Linked DNA regions of Drosophila melanogaster. The protein of the gene in region 2 purifies or fractionates together with the protein of the main gene of each other region. This does not show direct contact. Each region holds a gene or a part of one and is shown on either strand. Other genes may lie near its edges.

What was found.
Region 1: the proteins of mago (region 2) and ranshi purify together in Drosophila melanogaster (affinity purification with western blotting, with the first as the bait; one study listed by BioGRID). This does not show direct contact.

What each region holds. Positions count from the first base shown.
Region 1 is NT_033777.3:8,727,666-8,731,672, reverse strand, and holds ranshi (ranshi), read left to right. Parts: upstream 1-1,979; 5' UTR 1,980-2,012; coding exon 2,013-2,132; intron 2,133-2,189; coding exon 2,190-2,749; intron 2,750-2,801; coding exon 2,802-3,047; intron 3,048-3,106; coding exon 3,107-3,221; 3' UTR 3,222-3,306; downstream 3,307-4,007. Other genes in the region: M1BP (motif 1 binding protein), read left to right, coding at 91-231, 300-1,003, 1,061-1,306, 1,572-1,737; CG8159 (uncharacterized protein), read right to left, coding at 3,357-3,642, 3,702-3,947.
Region 2 is NT_033778.4:21,126,844-21,130,449, reverse strand, and holds mago (mago nashi), read right to left. Parts: upstream 1,874-3,606; 5' UTR 1,757-1,873; coding exon 1,496-1,756; intron 1,438-1,495; coding exon 1,255-1,437; 3' UTR 713-1,254; downstream 1-712. Other genes in the region: magi, read left to right, coding at 1-85, 142-575; Tmtc3 (transmembrane O-mannosyltransferase targeting cadherins 3), read left to right, coding at 3,431-3,606. UniProt on the Drosophila melanogaster protein: Core component of the splicing-dependent multiprotein exon junction complex (EJC) deposited at splice junctions on mRNAs. Involved in exon definition of genes containing long introns, including the rolled/MAPK gene.

The DNA.
Region 1 (4,007 bases), on a different chromosome or scaffold from region 2:
GAATGGCAAATGCAGTTGACAAGCGACGCGTTTATTTTTTGTGTTCACAAATATCTTAAAAACGATTTCATTTCGGATTGCGAATGAAAAATGTCGAAATCGGCGCTGAAACACCTAAAGAGCACCTGCCGCGTATGCGCAAAGTATGCAAGCAACAAGCGGTCGCCGAAGTTATTCGAGCGGAGCAACACAAAGATGATCGACAACATTGAGGCGCTCACAGGCCTTCGGGTAAATTTTTCACTGCGGCTTTATGGAATTTATGTAGTTATAGCTTAATTTATTGGTGTTTAATCTAGCTGGAGAACTACGGTTGCCTGCCGGATCAGATATGTGAATGCTGCAGCATGGAACTGGCCTCCGCCGTTAAGCTGAGGGAGCGCTGCATCGCCGCCCAGCGTGAGCTACTCTTGGGATTGACCGAGGAGCAACGCCAAGGCATCTCGGCCTTCTACCGGGCGGCTGTCATGGGCGAGGATATTGTCCAGACGGTGAAGACGCCCGACGATGATGAGGTCTATGCCACTTATCAGGAAATCGTATTGGAAGAACCTAAGGAAGAGATCGACGACACCAAGGTAGAGTACGATAATACCTACTACGAGGTGGCCGAGGGACACGCCGGCGAGGACGACGCAGCCTCCTTGATTGAAGAGGCCGACTATGATTCCATAATGGCCGAAGACGAAGAGCAGCAGCAAACGTTGGAGCTGGACGAAGACACCGAGCTAATTGTGGGCGACGTCAACGACGCGTACGTCTACGATTCGGATGATGAGGTGGCCGTTCTTGACAACGTGCTGGATGATGAGTACGAGCATGAAAACATTGTCGTCAAGAAGTGTAGTCTGCCGCCAAAGCCAAAGGTCCGGTCGGATGATGCGCGTCGTCGTGGCACCGGCGGAGTATACATCTGCGAGCAGTGCGGCAATCACATCAAGGGACGCATGGCCTTTGAACTTCACTGTCGTCGCCATCGTGGGGACAAGCAATTTGGCTGCGAGTGAGTACATTTCTACTCCTTTTTGGATACAGTATGACTAAATGGATTTATTTTCAGACTCTGTCAGTCGCGCTTCTGCACAACTTCCGAGCTGAAACGCCACATGCGCAAGCACACCGGAGAGCGACCGTTTGCATGTAAGTACTGTGGCCGCTGCTTCACAGACTACACCACGCGCGTGAAGCATGAGCGTACCCACACCAATGAGCGCCCCTACGTCTGTGGTACTTGCGGCAAGGCCTTCACTACCGGCTACATCCTTAAGAACCATATGCTGATACATTCCGGCGAGCGGGCCTACAGGTACGTTGAGTCATACAGCTACACAGTACCGGGAAACCCAATAACTAGGTTTCTTAGAAATTCTAAGATCATATTATGCGGCATTACAAGAGTTTTCCAAAACCTTATGAGAGTTAAGATAACTAAATATTACTTATGTTGCCAAATTTCGTGAGTAATATTTAGTTATCTTATAATAATTTCTTATAATAATATGAAACTAGTGATACTGGTACAGTTACTGAAATGTTTGAAATGCCATCTAATACTGAATCTTCCCCTCAAGGTGCGAGCTGTGCGACAAGTCCTTTATGCTGCCCACCCACCTGAGCACCCACTTCCGGTCTGGCGTACACAAGCGGCATCTGGAGAAAGCCGAGATGAAACAGGTCCTGGAGCAGGAGCAGAAACGTGAACTCAAGGAGGAGGAGGAGGACAGCCTGCACATCTAAAGCTGTCCTTATAATATATACATAGCAATTACAGGCAATGCTAGACCGACAATGGCGCACAGCCAAGGAGCATTTCTGCAAATAATTAACAAACCAATTGTAATATGTAGAACTTAATATTGAATAATAAATCAAAACTTCAAATCCCAACTTATGAGCATTTATTTCATCTGTAAAAATTGCTTCCATGCGAATGGCAAACGGAACAGCTGATTGACAAGCATAGCATTGTTTACAAAAAGTTTGGCGTTTCAAACTTTTTTATCGGCTCAAAAATGGAAGGAAAAGTGTGTCGCACTTGCGGCAAGCGCACGAATGCTGAAAGATCATTGAATATTTTTGAAAAGCGCAATCAAACTACGCTGGAACACATCAAACTACTAACTGGAGCTGTGGTGAGAGGATAATAATGCGTAGTGTCTTTAACTTTCTAAAGTTTTTTCTCTTTACAGTTAAAGAACTGTAGTACGTTGCCAAATCGACTATGTGCGTCCTGCCAAACTTGTTTGCAACAAGCCATATCCTTTAGGGAACGCTGTTTGGAAGTCCAAAGGGAGTTGCTCCATTCCCAAGATGATGAAGACTTCCTTAGAATCTGCCAGGAATCTCCCAAAAGTGTCCTTGAGCAGGAGGAGTTGGAACTGGATCTGGCAGAAATAAGCATAGAAGTCGAGCGATTAGACGATCTCAATGAAGGGCCCATTCAAAGCTCCGGTTTTAAAGTGGAGGACATTCTAAATGAATCTAAAATCAACGAAGACGAGCCCAATAATGAGGACGATATTGATTATAGTGAAATGGATTACCTTATTTACGAAAGCGATACTGAAGTAGATGCAAAGCAGGAACTCAAATCAGACTCTGAGAATCCCAAAAAAAGGAGAAATCGTCGAAATCCCCGCGACTCCAATAGGACCTTCTTTTGTGAGGAGTGCGGAAATCACATAAAAGATCGAATATCATTCATACTGCATTGTAAGCGACATCGCGGCGTCAAGGAGTTTGGGTGCGAGTAAGTGGCAATTCTACTTAAGATTGATCCTAACTAATCCGCTTCATTTAAGATTCTGTGAGGATCGCTTCTGCACGCCGGCGGAACTTAAGCGTCACATTCGCAAGCATACCGGGGAAAAGCCCTTCAAGTGCAGACACTGTTCCCGCAGCTTTTCTGACTACAGCACTCGGTTGAAGCACGAGCGGACTCACACTAACGAACGACCTTTTGTCTGCAAGGAGTGTAACAATGCCTTCACAACATCCTATATTCTTAAGAACCACATGCTCGTGCATACCGGGGAGAAGGCTTTTAGGTAAGCGGGTACTCGAAATAGTACTTAAGTGTAATAATAATAATCTATTCTATTTGCAGGTGCGACCTCTGCGATAAGTTATTCAGTCGCTACACACACCTTACTACCCATTATCGTTCAAATGCTCACAGACGAAACATGCAGAAAGCAGACACAATCTTTGATAAACCCTAAAAGGTATCACTTAAGAAGCTCTTAGTTGAAAACGGTTGCATTACCAAAATAGGAATTTTTACAAAAAAAATCAAAACGGATAATCAAATTGTGAACTATATTTGGCTTTAAAGGTTGAGATGGACTCATTAAGGTCTAGTTTGTACTATACATTAGAGTGGATGTTTCCAGAGCAGCCAGGCCCAAAGACTCATCCTGCTCCTGCTCCGCGGGCAAAGGCACTTCTATCGTAAAGGCATCCGCCTCTGCTTCTGGCTCCTTTTCCGTCACGAATTTGACCTGATCCGCTGACTGGGATGGTGACAGCTGAACTCCACCCGCGTCTGCCATCGATTTCTCCAAGTTGTGCTTATGAGTGTTAGAGCGGAAGTGAGTCTTCAAGTGGGTGGGTCGCGCAAAGGATCGATGGCACAGCTCACATCTGCAAAGGATCGGCTAGGTGATCATTAACTTAAGCACTATTTATCATAGTTTACTAGCCTGAACAGGCGCTCGCCCGTGTGGATAAGCATGTGGTTCTTGAGGATGTAGGAATTGGTAAAGCTCTTGCCGCACTGCGCACAAATAAAGGGTCGATCATTTGTGTGGGTCCGCTCGTGACGCAGGCGACCACTGTAGTTGACGTAGGTGCGGTCACAGTAACGACACTGGAACTTGCGATCTCCAGTGTGCATCACTTGGTGTCCTTTCAGCTCACCGGAGGACAGGAAGCGGGCGGGGCAGAGTCTACATGAGAGCAATGTTACACAGTTAACTATCAGATTGTACAATTGACGAGCTAAAGCT
Region 2 (3,606 bases):
GATGTGATTGTCAGCCGGCATGAAAACGAGGGCTTCGGATTTGTTATCATATCATCATCGAACCACTATTACGGCTCGACAATAGGTATGCCACTGACTTTAGACTTTGTTTCAATTCATCTAACATATCAACGTATTAAGGGAAACTAATACCCGGCAGTCCGGCGGATCGTTGTGGAGAGCTCAAGGTGGGCGATCGCATAGTGGCAGTAAACCGCATCGAGATAGCTGGCATGTCGCACGGCGATGTAGTGAATCTCATCAAGGAGTCTGGTCTTCATGTGCGTCTCACTATCGGCGTTCCGCTGAAGGAGGGTGGTCCCAGTCCTGGCGGCAGTAGCGTCGGTGTGTCCAGCAACACTCCGCTGCAGGCATCTCCCAGTCTCCTGAAGGCACAACTCTCCCACCAGCAGCAACTTCCGCAGCAGCATCTACAGCAAGCGCAGCTGAATCACCACCACCAGCATCTTGAGATGCCAATGTCAATGCCCGTGCCAGGACATGGCAGCTATTTGGAGCGACCCAGTAACAATATCTCAGCCACTTTGGCGCTGCATCAGCAGCCACAATTATGACTCTGAGACCTACGCATTCGGCTCTATAAGAGCTTTCTATAGTGTTGCATCGCCTGCAGGCCCTTAGTTTGTACTTTCGTTAGCAAAGTACTCACCCCAAAGACTGAATTTAGTAGCATATGTAAGCCAAACCCTTTGCAAGTCTCAAAACCGTATGTGAGTGCGTATTTTATTCCAGTTTCTTAAGATACCGATCATTATCTTAGGCTAAGTTACTGCTTGTACTTAAACGTTAAGACAATTTGCCAGTTTGTGAGATATTAATCACTTAGCTTAAGCTGTTTTAGACATATACGAATTGTACAAATGTAAAGGACTTTAAATTTTTATCTCGAGTATGTATATTATTCAAACACAATAGATATTAAATTGTATTTTTCAAATATACCTACACATTATAACATCAAAAGTTAAATGGTTTACTATTGTGTTTGCTATTATTGTTAAACTTGTTGTCTGCTACTACATCGAAGATTTGCTATTTACTTCTATAGCACAATCTAGACTGTACACAAGACTTTGAAAACAAAGTATCTTCCAATCCTTTTTTATTCACTGCAAACTGTACCAAAAAGTACAAAGGTATAGCTTATACAATTACAAGTATCGTAGAAGTTCCATTATAAAATACGATGTGTCCGTCCGATAAATAGGCTATGCTTGAGGTGGTGGCTACGGCTTATATGGGCTTGATCTTGAAATGCAGGCCGATGAGTGAGAAGACCAGGCACTTGAGATCCTGCACCAGGTAGTAAAAGCATCGCAGGCCCTCGGGATCTTTTGACCGGTTCACGTCCACCAATGATCCCGTTTTCGAGGTGGTGAACGAGATGTGCTCGTCTCCGATGACGATCTCCAGTTCCTGAAAAAGACACATGGTTGTTTAGTTGAGCTCTAGTTACGGAGTGCGGCAAACCGACCTGTCGACCCACGCGATCTGGTGGCGGCCAGGGCAGATCGTCCTCCTGCATGATCTCCGAGTCGATGATGATTCGCTTCAGTTCTTCCATCACGGACTGGTGGACGAAGGCCTCCTTGCGGATCATGGTGTCGTTCTTGTAGTTGGAGTTGTTGGCGTACCGCAGCTTGCCATCCGGCCGGAACTCGAACTCCAAGAATTCGTGCCCGAACTTGCCCTTGTGTCCGACGTAGTAGCGTAGGTAAAAGTCCTCCGTGGACATGATTGCTTCTAGTTTAAAGCGTAACTTTGAAAGACTTTCAGAAAAATATCAATTTTTGGTTTCCCACTCTTTTTCCTTTACTACAACGCGTTAGAGATGGGAAAACACACGGAATAACTATCACCGCGTATCGATAAGTGTTCGCTGCGAATGGCTGGCAGGGATGAGGAAGAGAAGCCAGCCTATCGGCGTATCGATAACACAACAATAATCCACGTACAAGTCGCGCATTTGGCACTGATTTTTATTAAAATGTAATTCAGTTTTGGATGCCATGGAACTACCTCAACAAGTATGTGAACGACAGGGCGGTGTGTGAGAACCCATCTGTTAAACGGTGCTCGAAACTCGCTGGGCAACATTGTAATTATTGGCGAATTGAAACAAAGTTGGCAAATCGGGTTTGTTTGCGGCCGTGTGATTGTGTGCGTGTGCGAGGCCATCGCCGTTGTAATGGCGTCCATGTCACTAAAATGGGAGAGGACATGCGGCTGGCTCTCCGGTTCCAGCGCCCATAGCCATCGCCATGTCCTTATCCTTCTCCAGTGCCCCGTATCTCGGTCAAAGTAATTTTACAAAAACACACACGGCCATTAATTTGCGCTCGGCGAGCGGGAGAGCCATGAGCACGGAGAGCGCACGTCCTGGCAAGTGAAAGTGCAAGGATGCGGGACCGCGCATGTGTCGCTCTTGGCGGGAAAATGGAATAAGGGTAAACGGAGCACGTGCCCGCCCGGTCGTCCTTCGGGAAAAGTCGGTCGTGCAACAAAGTTGCGCTCAGCTGAGATGCAATCCTCTCCAGCTCCCGTTGAAGCTAGGCCCCTTTTTTCGCTCTTTACGAGCGCTTACTTCGCTTGTGGTGGTTTGTTTTGACTGAACGCCCGGAAAATCGATGGCATTGAGTGCAACATTGTGGCATCCGCCCATCTGCCCACCGATGTGCCCCGCCTAGTAATGCTCCAGGTCCCGCAACATTTACAACAGTTTATGCAAACAAATCTCTCACGCGCTCTTCGCCTCTCTAAAAGCGCTCTCCGTCCGCATACTTGTACTTGTGCGTACCCAAAGTCCGGATCCGGAGCTCTGTCGGTCCGCCCGGGTTACAACTTTGTTAACTTCGGGCTTTTGTGTGTGCAGTCGGTAACCAGGACAGTAACCGGGAAGGAGTTACTTTGTTGCGTATTAATTGATTTTTTCCGCAATCAGTTTTTGCTTCTTTGTATAACTTCAAGTGCTCATAAAAAGCGGTAGAAAGTTTGTCTTTAAAAAGACTTTGACTTGGGGGAAAATCGGTAAGTTGCGGATGAAGGACTATGGAAAGTAAGAGGATTTGGGTGTGTATCCAGAAAAGATGCGAGGGCTTACATATACATTACTGCACAATTTTGTTGCTCGGGGGAATCCCCTTTCAAAAAAAATATATAGATATGTATGTTGCCTACATTTAGGGGCTTTCTCACTAATAGGAAGTGTCTATACTTAAATTGGTGGACTTGTATACTTAATTAGTTTCCAGTTAACTTAAACTAATGGTTTTCCCACTTTCTCATTTTTTTCCAGGCCATCTAGGGACCTGCCGACCGTGGCTGGGTAAAGCCCTACATGCAACATTTCGCCGCCTGAACGAACAATTGTGGGTACATGACGCCTTTCACGAAGTAACGCGAAATCAACATGTCAACGAACCCCAACCCCGGAATCCATCAGTATGCACCCTCCACTTTGCCGAGGGAACGGGAGCGGGAAGGAGCCACAAACTCGCCGCAGCGCAACCTGCTCGAGTTCCTGTGTATATGCGTAGCCTGCATAGTCTGCTATTACAACAGTACTCAGTGCGGGCTTGTTTTCGA